Cricetulus griseus: one gene and its partners. The protein of the gene in region 2 interacts with the protein of the main gene of each other region in a pairwise test. Links are inferred from orthologs where the notes say so. Each region holds a gene or a part of one and is shown on either strand. Other genes may lie near its edges.

Region 1 (5,400 bases), on a different chromosome or scaffold from region 2:
TTCCTGTTGGGGCCCTCAATGCATCCAACTGTCGTCTTCTTTCCAGGTGACCCTTTGTTATATGTGATTTTATAGTGGGCTTTGCATCATGGAATTCAACTGTACACCTTAGGTTTCTATAGCATAGCTGATTCTGACGATACAGGCTAAGCTACATGGAGTAGCATTAGTAAAACCTGCTGTTGCAAACTCATCTAGAAATCTGTGCCCGGAGCCTCCATTTCTCTCAGGCACCTACTAACCACTTCACCCTGAGTGTCCGTGTGTACACACATGCCCTGAGCATATGCAGATTCTGAGTCCCTCGCCTGGAGAGAAGCACTGGTCAGAATTCTAGCAAACATTCCTCCCCCAATATGCATCTAACATTTTCTCATAAATACACTGATTGCATTTCTAGCAGAGAACTGAGATGCCATTGGTTTTATCTCTTGGGGTAGTTTGACATCAGTGTCTCTATTGAGGCCACATTAGCCTTAATCATTTGCTTTGGATGTACAGCATCTGCTGGGCTTTTTCCAGAGATAGCACTTTTTTCCTGTCAAGACTGATGGATACTTTGGGATGCTGGAAATATCAGACTGAGGGAGATATGACAACTAAATAGGGTATGGGTTCCTGAATTAGATCCTGAAACAAACAGAAAGATGTCAGTGGAATACTAGAACTTGTATAAAGTCTGTAATCTAGGTAACCTTGCTGTTTTAGACCCATTCTGTAGATAGTTCCTTGTGTAAGATGTCAACACCAGAAGAAATGAAGGGGAGGAGAAAGCTCACTAATAGTTTCTCTGAAATTCTTAATTGCAGTCTGAATCTGCAGGTGGGCCTAATTGCCCATCAGCACATGGGTGCCTGTGGACTCTGCTACAAGACTCTGGCGGATGTAGCCTATTTCATTAAGCACAACTTGCAAGTGGGCCAGCCCAATGCATCACCTTGTTATCCCTGTGCTGTGGGTAAGGCAAACACTGCACTGTGCACTTCTGGGTCAGTGAATAGCTTAGCTGCTCGCACTGAAACACACACACAAAAAAAGAAAAAAAAAAAAAAATGAAGTGGCTAACCTGAGTGGCCACTACAGAATAAGTCAAATGAGGTGTCTAAGCTCAGTGTCTGACCAGTCTCCTGTATCCTGGTGCCCTGCCAATACAGCAGAGCCAGAAGAACCATCTATTCAACTGAAGGCAACCAGAGACCATGCTTTGGCACACATCCATCTCGAAGACCAAAAGAAAGGAGACAAATGTCTGAAGACAATAGGTTTTGGAATTCTTGTTCAAGGTGAGTGCCCTTACAAATAATCTCTACTTACTGCATTAAAATATTTTAATATAAAGAATACAATAAAGCTGGGTGGTGGTGGCGCACGCCTTTAATCCCAGCACCTGGGAGGCAGAGGCAGGTGGATCTCAATGAGTTTGAGGACAGCTTGGTCTACAGAGTTCCAGAGAAACCCTGTCTCAAAAAAACAAAAACAAACAAAAAAAGTATAGTAAACTTAGGAAAAGACTTCATCAATTTCTGACTAAGAGGGTCTAAGCTAGATAAAAGAAACAGCGGGCATGTGGCACACAGGAGTGGGGCTCTAGGCCTCACCAGGGCCTCAGAAGTCTCTACAGCCACCTCAGAGACAAATAGAACATCTTCCAAGCAGCCGGGAGGTAGTGGTGCACACCTTTAATCCCAGCACTGGGGAGGCAGAGGCAGGCAGATCTCTGCGAGTTCGAGGCCAGCCAGCTCTCCAGAGCAAGTGCCAGGATAGGCTCCAAAGCTACACAGAGAAACCTTGTCTCAAAAAAACCATAAAAAAAAAAAAAAAGTATCTTCCAAGCAAACGGAGACCCTAAAGAGAGACAACAGCACAGATAAAAGGTGTCTGCAACAAGTCTTCTGGGTCTTAAGGTAACAAGCTCACCAAGTCATTAGAGGGGAAACCATTTTAAAAACCCTCTCCACAGATCCAGGGACTTCTGCCAGTTTCCTCTTGCCTTAGGGCCTAAGGCTTAGGTAATAACAATATAAATATTGGAGGAAGACCTACCATGCAAAGCAAGCTAACATTCACCACACCACCACCCAAAAGAGTGGTGTTAAACAAGAAATCAGATAAAAGAAAACTGAAAAGAACCTCTAATACAGTTTCCTTAGCCTGAAGAAGAAAAATGTATTCATGAGACAGACTACTGGACAAAAGGAAAATGACAAATACACTTACAAACTACAATTTGTACTATGGATTCCTCCCCCCCATAGGACCTATGTCGCCCAGGTGGGCCTCAAAGTCACAAAGAATCACTTGCCTCTATCTCCTAAGTGCTGGAATTAAAACCCTGCAACACTGTACCCAGCAAAAAATAAATAAATAAAAGGGTGGAGGCAGAAAGATAAACTGACGCTCTCTCCTGGAATGAGAATAAAAGGGATTAGAAAGATGAAGAGATTCAAGGGTTCTACCCAAAATGTGTGTTACACATGACAGGAATCCCTAAACGAATAAAATCGGGGGGGGGGGGTAAGTTCTCTAATGACTCAAGAGAATTTCCCAGGCTCAAGGACACAAGCCTCAGCCTACCTGTGAACTGTAAAAGATACTCTAATACCAAGACCACCTTAAAATCGTCCGAGGAGGAAAGAGTTACCAGAACGGAAGTACTTGGCAGAGCCTCCTGTGGACTGAAGAAAGCTAAGACTGAAACACCGTGTCCTGAACTAACCAGGCGTGCAGGGAGGACATCGGGACCTACCTGAGCGGGCCTTAAGAGTCACTGACCCAGATTAGAAAAACACAAAGCGGAGGTGGAGGAAGACCGAAGATTTAACACTATCCTCGAGAAGTTACAATGTCACCAGGAGCAGAAAAACAAAGGTCACTATAAACAACAGGAAAAAGGCAAGGCTGTGCGGGACAGGGACGAGACGCTAGGTGGGGAAGAGAGCTCCACTATCAGCCCCGATGTCAACAGAGCGGAGAGCAGAGGCGGATGCACCAGCGAGGGCGAAGCCACCCTACCGGGGCAGAGAGCCAAGAACTACCGAGAGATGGGGCCACCTGAGGCGGCAGGGCGGTGCGCAGGGCCCGGGAGCACCGCGCAAGGCTCTGCTTCGACAGACTGGGGTGGCTGAGCGCGGGAGCCCGCGTCCGCGCGCCGAGGACGTGACAGGGCCGCCGGGCGCGGGTCTGGGCGGCGCCGAGGCTCCGGAGCCGAACGTGAGCTCGGCCGCCGGGCCTCGCCCGCTCGTTCCCCGCCGCCCCGCACTCCCAGCCCGGAGCCCACAGCCCGGGCGGGTGGAGGCGCGGAGGCGCCGCACGGACATTCCTCGGCCCGCTGGCCCCCGCCCAGCCAGGCGTGCGGCCCGTGGCCGTTGGCGACCGTTGGCGGCGGGGCGGGGCGGGGGCGGACGGAGATCTCGCTCTCGCTCTCGCTCTCGCCCCGCGGGAAGGGGGAGTGGAGGCGCGACCGGCTGCGGGAGCTGCAATTACCGTGTGGGCTGCGGAATTCTCGTGGTGTTTGTCGGGGAGATGCGATAATGGCGTCCGTCCTCGCGAGAGAAGCAGCCGCTCTGCGCAGGCGCTGCGAGCACCTCCCCGCGCCCTGCGCCCCGCCCTCAGCGCAGGCTCCCTGGGCTCGGGGCTCGAGGGAGGAGCCAAGCCGACAGGGGGTGGAGCCTGCTCTGGGCGCCTCTGGCGCGCGCTTTTGCCGACGGACTCCGGCGAACATGCGCAGTTGTCCTCCCGTGCCCCGAAAGTTGACTCCCGAGGCCCTTACTTCCCACCTCACGTCCGTGCTTTTTGCTAAAGTGGTAAATCCTCTCGAGGGCAATCTGAGAAATGTACGTCCTTTCTGAAGGGGAGTGAATAGAGGCTAACGCTGCCCGGATGACTACAAATCCCAGGGTATGTTGTGTGTGGCGCGATGCATTCTGGGACTGGTAGTCTCCACGGTTGTGATTTGCCTGCTGGGATTTGTAGTTCATCCGGATTCTGGCAGCTGCGTCCCTTCCCTGCCCTGGGGGCTGCTGGGACTTGTAGTGACAGCAGCTCAGACAAACTGTGCGCTTCCAAATCGGTCCTACCTACTCCGCGCCGTGGATCGGTCTGGGAAGTTCCGGGCTTGTTTAGTGACGTCGTTGCAAGCATGTGGCGCGGACACTGTCGCGGTGACAGAAATTATATATGACTTGCTTATGTATCCTGGAATAGGAGCTCCTGCGGCATCGATAGGCGCTTGTTCCCAGAAATGCCACTAGTGGCTGTCTCTGCACTTCGTCTCATTCACGTTCTTCTCGGGGCTTGTTCCTTCCGGACTTGTTCCTTCCCCTTGTTCACAGTGAGCAATCCTCCAAACCAGGATCCGGGAGCTATTTTCACCTAGAAAGAAAATACTTTTCCTTAACTTTCCTGCCCCCTCCTCTATGCCGATAGTAAAGTCAGGACACGGTGCAGCCACCAGCTGGGTGACCTTAGGCGACCCTACTGAGTTAACAGCCCATCTAAACCACTGCCCTCTCTGTCTAGGGGCTGGTCCTGGGCTACTTTTGCCTCACAAGTGTCTTGAAGACTTCAACCTGGAATTGTGCTGTTAAAATGAGACCTATCATTTACAGAGACGAGGATGAAGTCCAAAGAGGCTGAGAAATTGCTGAAGGTGGCAGCTGGAGCCAGGAGGGCAGGCTTTGGGCGTCTGTGTGAAGTCTTACAATTTAAAGTTGCCTCGCAACCATGTAGAAAGCAAGTTGGCAGCCTAGACTGCATAGCAAGTTCCAGGACAGTCATTTCTTGCAGCAGCGGCGGGGTGGGTGTTGAGGGTGGGGGTGGGATGTGTTGAAAAGTCAGTTTCTCTCCTGGGAGCAGGAGCCATCACCGCGGCAGCGCCTCTGTGTGGTGAGTCTCTTTCTTGTATAACTTCTGGTTTCCTCGGGGCCCCTGGGACTGCATGACAAAGCCTACTTGATGGAGGCCACCCTAGCACACAGGGCAGATATGTCACATGGACAATGGACCACCCCCACAGTCATGTGTAACCCCTCCTGGAACTACCTGTTTGCTCAAACTACCTCATGAAATTTGTTTGCACTTGGTCTTAGCGAAAAGGTCAAGGAGCAACCAACCGTGGGTGGTGGCACATGCCTTTAATCCCAGCACCCAGGAGACAGAGGAAGTCGGATCTCTGTGACTCTGGAGCCAGCCTGGTCTACAAAGCTACACAGAAAAACAGTCTCGAAAAATTAAAAAAAAAAAAAATTAAAGTCAAGGAACCACAGGAGGGCTGCATGGATCATACCCAGAACTTCAATAAAGTCCTTAGCCTACACGGTCCTTTCCTTTTCTCCCACCCAATTGTCTGGCCTCCAGACACTCGGTTCACCCCAAGGACCTATACAAAAGTCTGTTTTCACG
Region 2 (5,251 bases):
TTTGAATTTGAGGCCAGCCTGGCTTACGTTGTAAATTCTGGACAGTCAGAGCTACATAGTGAGACCATGTCTCAAACAAATAAAAAGAAAAAGAAAGAAAACTACATAATGAGGACTAGTAAAATGGCCCAGTGTAGAGGTACTAGCCACCAAACTTGACAATCTGAGTTCCACCCCTGGGATCCAAACAGTAGGAAAGAACCAACTCCCCCGGGTTGTTCCCTGACCTCCACACTTGCACCACAAATACTAACATGCATACACACACACACACACATAAAATAAATAAAATGTAAAAATATATATAAGGAGGAGCTGAATATGGTGATGCATGCCTGTAATCCTGGCACTTGGGAGGTAGATGAAAGAGGGTCAGGATTCTCCAGCTAGTCTCAGGACAGAATTCAAAGTCCAGCCTCTACAAGAGTAGGATGGGATTTTCAAAACACTGTATGTGCATGCATGCATTTACACATAGGGGCCGAGGGTTAGAGTTGCATGGTAGAGCACTTGCCTAGCACAAGAAAGGCCCATTAGTTCCCAGTACTAAGACAAATAAATGGTTAAATGAATAAAAAGTTAATAAGGATGTAAAGAAATTTCTACAAGCCAGGCGGTGGTGGCTCACACCTTTAGTCCCAGCACTCGGGAGGCAGAGGCAGGCAAATCTCTGTGAGTTCAAGACCAGCCTGGTCAACAAGAGCTAGTTCCAGGACAGCCTCCAAAGCCACACAGAAACCCTGTCTCAAAAAAACAAAACAAAAAAACCCAAAAACCAAAAAAAGAAAAAAGAAAAAGAAAGAAATTTCTACAGCATATAGTATATTTTTGTAAATTTGAAATTAAAAACAAACTTTAAAAAACCAAATTGCTAATCTCAGCTCTACCACCTACTAAGGTTGTAATCTTAGATAAACGGCATAAAACTTTTATGAAATATAAACTTTTGCTTTTTTGGCTTTTTCAAGACAAGGTTTCCCTGTGTAGCCCTAGTAGTCCTGGAATTTGCCTCATGCTCACAGAGATCCGCCTGCTTCTGTCTCCTGAGTGCTGGGATTAAAGGCCTGAAGTTACTACACCCTTCTTTTTTTCTTTTTTCTTTCTTTCTTTCTTTTTTTTTTTTTAAGTTCTGCTGGTCTAGCACCTTTGGCCTGCTCCACCACGCCCCCGCATTTTAACTCTTCCCACCCTCCAATACCACCCCCCTGAGCCAGGGTCTCTGGTAACTAGACTACTCTTGTGTACTAATTTGAATTTGTGCTTCCACCCAGTGTGATTATAGGTGTGTAGTACGAAATCCGGTTTTAGGCAGTAAGGGGCTTCGAACTCCGGAAAGAAGCGCTCTACCAGCTGCGCCACATCCACAGGTGGAGGAAAGCCTAGTGATTGCGAGCGGGCGAGCGGGCGAGCGGCATCCACAGGTGGAGGAAAGCCTAGTGATTGCGAGCGGGCGAGCGGGCGGGCGAGCGCAGGGTGGATCCTGAGGCAGGCAATGGGAGAGACTGGAGGGGCGCTCCACACCTGACCGCTCCCACCCACTCAATTGCCGGGGGTGTTTGAGGAAGCACCTTCCATGCAGACAGGCAGGCGAGTCTCCGCCTCTCGCACCCTGCGGCCTGGCGTCCTCTATCCTTTAAAGTGGACCCCAAACTCCAGGACCCGGACTTCTGGGCCAGCCTCCATGGCCAGGTCCCGGGCTTGCTGGACTGGGACATGGGCAACGAGTGTTTCTTGTCGTTCACCACGTCGTATCTGCCCCTGTCCACGCAGAAACGTGAGTGGGGCTGTGGGGGAGGGGCTCGTGGGTGGCGGCATGGAGTGTGGTGGCTTCCCAGGCTCACCACCTCCCTGGGCTCCGAGTCTCGCCCCACGCAGGAGTGGGAGTAGCCCTTCCTGCAACTGAGTCCCCAGAACCCTCTTACACACCCAGAACATTTCTAGGCCTCTTCTGAGCTTTGGTGCTTGGAGCATCAGAACTTGGCATACGGAAGGCTTTATATTTCGGTGTAAAACAATCAGTTTTCTTTAGGGAAATATCAGTTGCCTCTATTTGCTTCGTTGTTGCTGTTTATGTTTTTGTTTGGAAGCCCTTGCTAGCCTCAAGTCTTAATTGTTGACCTACCTCCTGCCGCTCTAGGAGTGGGCCACCACCCCAGGCTGTTAGCCCACCCCTACTGGTGTTGTCCAAATGGATTTAATATTGCGGAAGGGAGGGGGGCAGTATGTTCTCCCTAAATTTTTCCTCCTCCTTGGAACTTAAGTTCAATTGTTTGAGGTGATTACTCTTGCATTCAAAGTGCTTTTTTTTTTTTTTTTTTTTTTTTTGCCTCGCTGGCTAGATGTTTGGGTTCACACTCCTTTTTCCCCTTTGGTCACATCCATCAGCTCCACCTCCGTATGTTAATTTCATATAGGTCTAAGCTGACACAGGTGTGGTTGAGCCCAGGCCAGCCTGAAGGTGTCTTGTGCGTTTCTGGGAAGATTTTGCCTTTTGTTTAGAGACAGGGTGTCACCGTGTATGTAGCCTTGTCTGAGTCCGGAACTCTAGATCGGGCTGGGGTCCCTGATTCGGTTTTACTTATACAAGTAGGAAAGTCAGGCCCTGAGGAGAGGGGTGGATTAGTGACACAAATTTTGAGATTTTGGTATATGGTTGGAATTTAAGGAGTAAGAATAATTGGACCAAGGCTGAGCCCTTGAGGCATTCCAGTGGAGAGACTGAGGAAGAAGAGATAACCACCCCTCAGAAGATAACCAAGAGCCAAAACAGTGGTGCTGTGGTGTACAGGAACTCTGGTGATAAAACGTTTCAAGAATTGAGATTGGGAGATAGAGGTGGGAGGTTCCTGAGCTCAAGGTTATCCTTGGCTCCTCCAGAAGTTCCAGGGCTGCTTGGCCTAGAGATCAGCACTACCCCTTCCAAAAAAAAAAAAAAAAAAAAAAAATGGAGGAATAGAGGTGGTCAACACAGGGTAATGGGGTAAATCAGAGAGAGAGAGAGAATGAGAGAATATAATAAATTTGTTGGTTTGAGAGAGGGTCCTGCTATATTAACCTACGCTAGTCTCCAATTTAAGATCCTCTCAGCCTTCCTAGCTGGGATTAAAGGTGTAAACCATTAGTCACAGCTTCCCATTGTCTTTTACAATTAACACATGCAAATCAAAAGTTTAAAGAGCTAGGCATGGTCCTGCACACCTTTAATCCCAGCATTTGGGAGGCCAAGGCAGGCAGATCTCTGAGAGTTTAATGCCAGTCTGGTCTATATAGTAAATTACAGGACAGCTGGGGCAAGAAAAGAAAAGGGAGGGGGGGGGAGGGAGGGAAAGGGAAAGGAAAGAAAAAAGTTGGCTGTGGTAGCACACCTGTGGATGCCGAGGTAAGAAAATCTTAAATTCCAGACCATCTCGGCTGCAAAATAGAACCCTGTCTCAAAAGAATGGGTGGGGGTTAACCGGAGTTTAATTTTTGGAACTCAGGTAAGAAAGTGGTCTTGATCCACTCACACACAGTACACAAATGGTTTTGGTTTTTGTTTTTTTTTTTTTTTTTTTTTTTTTTTTTTTTTTTGAGACAGGGTTTCTCTGTGGCTTTGGAGGCTGTCCTGGAACTAGCTCTTGTAGACCAGGCTGGTCTCAAATTCACAGAGATCTCCCAAATGCTGGGACTAAAGGCGTGCGCCACCACTGCCCTACTGTTTTTTGTTTTTTTGTTTTTTTTTTTTTTTGAAAATCACTAAATTACATTTTCCATTTACAAAGCTTCTTCCCTTTTTGTGTGTTTGTGTTTTTTGTTTTGGGGGGCTTTTTTTGTTTTGGTTTTTGAGACAGGGTTTCTCTGTGGCTTTGGAGGCTGTCCTGGAACTAGCTCTTGTAGGCCAGGTGTCTCAAGCCCTTACCAAGTTTTGACCTGGGAGGAATGACAGACTCAGCGAGTTGGTTTTGAGTATGTAAGCTTTACTTCACACATATGTCAAAGTAATACAGAAGCATATGCAAACAATCCTAAGAACCACAGACAATATACTCACAGCAGGGGTACCTCTCCTGCAGAGGCTCAAAGGTTCCGGCTCTTGACTTCTGTTCTTCTGAATTAAGGCTGTGGAGTCTCGAGGGCCCAGTGTCGGGTTTCAGAAAGGGCGGCACTCAGCTTGATGGACTGGTTGTTTCAGGTTAGCGGAGGAGAGCTCCAGGACATAGAGTCGTGTGGTACACTCAAAAGTTCCCAGTTCTGAGCTGGTCCTTAAATAGTTTGCTGAATCTTGCTAATCACACTTTGCCACACACCACACATTCTCGATCTTATCTACAATGGCCGGTAGTGACTCCCTTTCTTTTAATCTCCCTCCAGCCAGGCCTTTGCCTGCCTGGTTACAAGCTCCTTACACCAGGCTAGTCTCGAACTCACAGAAAACTGCCTGCCTCTGCCTTCCAAGTGCTGGGACTAAAGGGGTGTGCCACCACCGCCCGGTTGGTGTGTGTTGATTTTTTAAATTTTTATTTATTTACTTTGTTTATTTTTGGTTTTGTAGGGTTTTTTTTGTTTTTGTTTTTTGTTTTTTTTCTGAGACAGAGTTTCTCTGTGTAGCTTTGGAGCCTATCCTGGCACTCGATCTGGAGACCAGGCTGGCCTCGAACTCACAGAGATCCGCCTGCCTCTGCCTCCCAAGTGCTGGGATTAAAGGCGCGCGCCACCAACGCCCGGCTTGTAGTTGTTTTTTGAATCAGGGTTTCTCTAGCTTTGGATCCTATCCTGGAACTTGCTCTGTAGATCAGGCGGCCTTGAACTCATAGAGATTCATCTGTCTCTTCCTCCAGAGTGCTAGGATTACAGGCGTACATCACCACTGCCTGGCAAGTTTTGTTTTTTATACAGTGTCTCTCTATAGCTCTGACTATCCTGGAACTCCCTATGTAGACCAGGCTGGCCTGGAACTCAGAGATTCTTCTGCCTCTGTCTCCCAAGTGCTGAGATTAAAGGTGTGCGCCACCATCCCTGACTATTGTAATTGTTATAAATATAGCCTATAGATTGAATTTAGCTCCAAGTGCCCTGAGCTATCTTTGCAACCAAGAAATTTATTTTGGGGTATTATTTTTATATGCAGAGATTGTAAGTCACCATCTATAAATCCAGGGCTCTCAAATCTCCCTACAGACCAGAACTCCATATGAATTAAACTGTAATTCACAGTTTAATAAGGTAGGGATGTATAATTAATGATGCTTGTAGGCAGGGCTAGGTGATAGGT
Region 3 (5,307 bases), about 13 Mb from region 2:
TGCCTGTAACATTTAGACATAGATTCGTAAGAGCTGAGGGGACGATGGCTACCCCATCTCAAAGGGATTAAGCACAGACTGGTTCCCCTAAAGTTCAACTTGCCAGCGCTCTTTAAAGATTTACTTTACTTATATATTGACTGTTTATGCGTATAGGTGTTTTGACTGCTTGTCTATGCATCAGTTGTGTACAGTGCGCACAGAGGCCAGAAAAGGGTGTCAGATCCCCTGGAACTGGAGTTACAGATGGTTATGAGCTGCCATGTGGGTCTAGGGAATGGAACCCAGGTCCTCTGCAAGAGAAGTATGTGCTCTCTTAATCACGGAGACTTTTCTCTACCTCCACCCCCAGCCCCAGCCCCTGCTGCCAACACTTTAAATCTTTTCTGTAATTTGGAGCCTCAACCAGGACCAGGCTTGTCCTTGTTACAGAAATGAGTCCACCAGAAAGTCTGGGGAGCACTGTTGACAACTGACAAAGTCCATGGGACCTACTAGCCACTTTCCCAAATGACATCACTAGTAGGTGAGAGATGCGTTTTGGTTTTTGTTGTTTAATTATTTTATTTTTAATTATGTGCCTGCAGGTGACCATGTGCACTTGAGTGCAGATGCTCTGAGGCCAAAGGCATCCCATCACCTTTGAGTTGGAGCTTGGGGCAGTTGTGAGCTGCCCGGCACGGGTGTGCACAGGTAATAGGAATGGAACTCGGCTCCCCTACAAGAGCAGCACATGCTCTTAACCACTGAACCATCTCTCCAGTTCCCTGAGAAACATATTCTTGATTCTCCAGCAAAACTTACCTGTCAGTCCTCAAACCTTGACCCTGTCCTACTTCAGTCAAATGGTGCAAAACAGGGAGAGTCCTGCAAAACAGAAGCACAGCTTCATCCCTGCAGTCCCTGAACCTCAAGAAGATAAAATTCCCACGGGTCATGTTACAGAAAGCTGTCAATCAAACTGGAGGCAGGACTCTGCGCTGCTTATTCCAACCCAAGATACGATGCTTGATCTGTAACCAAGTTTTGCTCAGGACCAAAGCCATTCTTCTGGGGGGGGGGGAAGGTTGGGGAAAGAGGGAGACTGATTTATAGTTGAAGAATAGAAACTAGATTATTTAACCAATATTTGGAATCGAGGTCAAATATGTTCAACCTGAGAGTCCCAGGGGAAGTGAGAGCTGGTCAGAGTTTGCTCTCCAAGATCAAATTCCAAGCCAATTCAGTCTCTTCCTCCACCCAGATCCTATTAAAGATTTTTGGAATTTTCATTTATTGACAGTCAGGGTGACTATAGGCAGCACCTCGATTCCCTACCCCTGCCACTAACAGGAACTGTGAGCAGTCCAGGAGAGTGGACAAGCAGGCAGCAGGCCGTGACTGAAAAGTCATGATTCCTCCTGAGCTCGGGGGACAGGGGCACCGAGCCATGTAGGAGAACCACAGCCAGGACACTGCACTTTCTCCATCCTTCAGAAAGATGGGAGGACCCTTTGCTTTCATAATAAACCTAACCTCCAAACCACAGCAATAAGAGAGAAGCTGTTTTCTACACTTTAAAATGGCTCACAATTGTGTTTCTTCCTAGCTGGTGGATGCTGCACCTCCTGATGCTCTGCAGCACAGGTTCTCCAGCAGTCAGGACAGCTAGCTCTCCTCCCTATACATGGAGCTCACTGGTTTGAACAGACAAGTCAGTACATGTCTGTGTTCCCTGACCTCTACATCATGCTTGTCCAGGCATGTCCAGGAGCTGAACATTGTAATATCTAATTCTCTCCCACCACTACTGACCTCCCGGGAAAAAGACTCAAAAGACAAGCTTGTTTTATCATATGATTCAGTGTTCCCTTTAAACCTCCGGAGTCAAACTTGAGTTTCTCGTGGCTATCCTTGAACTCAGGGTTAATTTTTCTTTCCACTCCTCACAGACTGAAGTGCAGGTACAGGAAGACGCCTATATTCCCAATGTGAGGTCTACAGCTTATTGCTAGACCAGTCTTAAAGCAGCATGTGCAGAAAACGCGTTTTTCCTATTCTTATTTGACTTGTATTATAACCACAGAACTTAAACTTACTCTTATGTGTAAGAAAAAGTGGGGTGTGATGGCACATGCCTTTAATCCCAGCACAGGTGAACAAGTAGGCAGTTTTCCATGAATTCAAGATTAGTGTGGTCTACACAGTGAGTTCTGGGCTAGCCGGGGATACACTGAGAGACCCTGTCATGAAGGGAAAGGGAAAAAAAAGTAAAAGAGAAAGAGAATTTAAGACAGTGAGAACACACACACACACACACACACACACACCGAGAAAAGGGCCTCAGCGTGTGCCTTATCAATCTTCTGTTTAATCAAGGTCAAACTGAAGTTTCAGTTTCATGGATATCTGCCAGTAACAAAATGGGCAAGGATGTAGCCAGAAAAATGTAACCACCCTACACCAAAACCCATACCGCCCGGCACCTAAACCCCTTTTAAGGTGTTAGGAAAAGCAAGGAACGCTCGTTCTCATTCAAAACGCTGGGCACAAAGCTCCTACAGTTCATTTGGGTACCTCCTGAGGACACATCTCGGAGCAAAACCCCCAGTTCCCAAGCACCCACCACTTCCCGAGGCTCTCTCCTGCCCATTAGCTAGTTCTGGCTTCCAATATTTGATCAGGAAATTTTTTCAGACAAAAAAAAAAAAAAAAAAAACTGACCTCACTCTACTTTTTAAATGCCGCTCCGCACGTTTAGGGATTAAGCAACTAAACACTCCCAGGGTTTTTCTTTCTCTAGTTTATTCATTTAAAATAGCTTGAGGCAAGTTGGCTCAGTAAGGTGGCTTGCAGCCTCACACGGTGGAACTGAATCTCACAAGTTGTATGATCTCCACACGCATGCCGTGACAGCACCCCATCCAAAATAAATGTAACTTTAAGACCGTTTTCACATCGGGACGCTCCTGGATCTCTTAGGACGCAGCCTACGCTGCAGTTTTCAAAGGTAAGCGTCGAGTGTGGGTGTCCTGGCTGCGCCTCTTTCAAGGATAGCGCAGGTCAGCGGGCGCAGGTGCGGCTGCTGTCCCCCAACCCTGAGCGCGAGAGCACGCCGGTGGCCCCACATCACACACATAATCGCACATCCACCCTCGCTCGGACCCACAGCCTGAGGAGCTTCTCCCACCGCCACACCACGCCGATCCCCGGGACAACACTTCCCAGCCCCTTCCACCGCTCACCCGCGCCAGCCGCCCCAAGTATCGCGGTATCTAGGCGCCCTTACCCTCCGAGTCTAAAGGGCACGCGAGAGAGCTACGTGAACGCATGGCCTTCTGGGAGCCGTAGTCTACTCTGCCTTCTGGGAGTTGTAGTCACCGGAGCTCGCTCCAGGACCTACATAGTTGTGTGATTTGCCAATTACCCCGCGCACCTGTTCAGAACTCTGGCACTTAATTCTATTTACTGCGCCTGTTCTAAAAGGCAGTTCGGCTCTTGAGACAAACAGGAGTACAGAAAATTAGAGGCTAAGAATGAGGAAGCTGCAGGACCTAAGCCACAATCCTAAGCAGGAAAGCCTTGTCATTGAAGGGGTCACTTGGAAAAAAAATTTTTTTCTTTTTAACCCTGGCTGGTCTGGAACTCAGACATCTACCTGCCTCTGCCATAATGGGATTAAAGGAGCGCGCTACGGCACCCACGGTTACTTGAAAGGTATCTTGAGGAGTGACCAGCACAGAGGATCTAGACAGCATTCCTAGTGAGTACACTTGGCAAAGACTCGGCATATTGGAATAGTTTTCATCACGCTGGAGCAACCACAGGTCTCAAGAACTTGTGTGCATGGAGGCTGCTGAATTAGCTTCAGGTGATCCCCCAGGGGAGCTGAGGAAGGGCCTGTGTTCCAGTCCTACCATTGCCAGCAGAGCACTTTATTTCTTCTTCTTAACTGGTAGTTGTGGCATGTACTTCATGGCCTACTCAAGGCTGCTTTAGGGAAATGATCACAGAATTCCAGGCCACAGATCCACTCAACCCAGCCCTACACCCCTGCCTCACATCCCATATCAAGACTTCATTAAGACCCACATGAAGACAAGCAACACAGAATAGACAGGGTCAAATGATCCCTTTTATTATGGTTCATCCAGTTACCACAGATAGACACATTGGCTCAGGCAGGTCAACTGCCAGCTAGGGAATAATGTGTGTCTCTCAGAAACAAGGGGCAGTGGGCACCAGGAGAATGCAAAAGCAGGTCACTGGCTGGCAACAGACAGGAGGATCCCCAGAACCAACTGGGCCCTCCTCCCACCCCCAAATTAAACCATCTGTGCCCAGCCCCCTTTCTCATCCTGGTTCCCTCCTCATGAAAGTGCATAGTTGCCTGGAGATGCAGCATTCCAGGGCCTGAGCAGCTGGGCCAGACACTGGTAACAGGCTTTCCCAAGGGCAGCGCCAGGCATGGCCAATAGGTCTGAGCCAGGAAAGAGGAAAGGGCAGTAGGACAGGAAATTGGAGGTAACATCCAACAGATCGTGGATGCTAGGCTGGCAGCTGGATCACAGCCCTCGCGGAACTTCCAGAGGACCAAGAGAAGGGAAAAAGAAGTCTGGGGTCAGGAGAAGGGAAGAAGAGGGAGGGCGTAGCCCTGGGTCTCTGTAGGGTACCAGGGCATGTGACAACTGCTCTCCAGAGGGAAAACAGTAGGGGAGAGAATCAACTAAGCCTAAGGGGTCATTAGGAAGGGAACTTTTCAGAGACTCTTGGCTTCTCTTACAAGGAAGAAGCTGAAAATCAAAGCTCAAGGAGACCTGAAACCAGGTCTTAGGTCCCAAGATAAAGCAGCCTGGAATGGCTAAGTGGGGTCTGGCTCTCCAGTCTACCTAGTCCAGGTGAGTTTCTGTTGGAAGGAGGTGAGAAACAGGCAGCTGCTCCTTGGCATGGCCTACCTACCTCAGGCCTCACACAACCAGATCCTCAACCAGGCAATGTCCACCCACTGCTTGGAAGAGACAGTCCTGGGGACTGAGATCAGTCGTGAAGGGGAGAGGGTTCCAACAGAACTAAGAAAAGGCCAGGAACCAAGTCCTGTAGTTAGTTCTCAAGAGAATGGAAGAAGAGGGAGGGGCCACACTCACTAATCAAAAAACTAAAGGAAGAATCCTCCTTCCCTCCCTGTCAACCAGGAATCCTGCTCAGAACATTGTGCTTGCAGCTTCAACTGAGCCTGGGAGCATCCAAACAGAATCTGTCCTGTAGCCAAGGGCAAGAGGGATTGGAGAGGTAAGCTACCCTCTCTCAGTGGGCTTCTATTTGACTTCT

The links.
Region 1: the proteins of Foxr1 (region 2) and Banp interact in binary tests that used the Homo sapiens proteins (3 or more experiments, as listed by UniProt). The two-hybrid records come from large-scale screens. The link is inferred for Cricetulus griseus from reciprocal best matches to the Homo sapiens genes FOXR1 and BANP.
Region 3: the proteins of Foxr1 (region 2) and Ppcdc interact in binary tests that used the Homo sapiens proteins (3 or more experiments, as listed by UniProt). The two-hybrid records come from large-scale screens. The link is inferred for Cricetulus griseus from reciprocal best matches to the Homo sapiens genes FOXR1 and PPCDC.

What each region holds. Positions count from the first base shown.
Region 1 is NC_048596.1:198,593,688-198,599,087, reverse strand, and holds the start of Banp (protein BANP), read right to left. Parts: upstream 3,362-5,400; 5' UTR 3,318-3,361; coding exon 3,036-3,317; intron 3,031-3,035; exon of another isoform or gene 3,013-3,030; intron 1-3,012. UniProt on the Homo sapiens protein: Controls V(D)J recombination during T-cell development by repressing T-cell receptor (TCR) beta enhancer function. Binds to scaffold/matrix attachment region beta (S/MARbeta), an ATC-rich DNA sequence located upstream of the TCR beta enhancer.
Region 2 is NC_048597.1:156,123,202-156,128,452, reverse strand, and holds the start of Foxr1 (forkhead box protein R1), read left to right. Parts: upstream 1-1,644; 5' UTR 1,645-1,713; coding exon 1,714-1,774; intron 1,775-5,251. UniProt on the Homo sapiens protein: Transcription factor which acts as both an activator and a repressor.
Region 3 is NC_048597.1:169,064,598-169,069,904, forward strand, and holds the start of Ppcdc (phosphopantothenoylcysteine decarboxylase), read right to left. Parts: upstream 3,321-5,307; 5' UTR 3,225-3,320; intron 3,219-3,224; exon of another isoform or gene 2,704-3,218; intron 2,223-2,703; exon of another isoform or gene 2,079-2,222; intron 868-2,078; exon of another isoform or gene 805-867; intron 1-804. UniProt on the Homo sapiens protein: Catalyzes the decarboxylation of the cysteine moiety of 4-phosphopantothenoylcysteine to form 4'-phosphopantotheine and this reaction forms part of the biosynthesis of coenzyme A.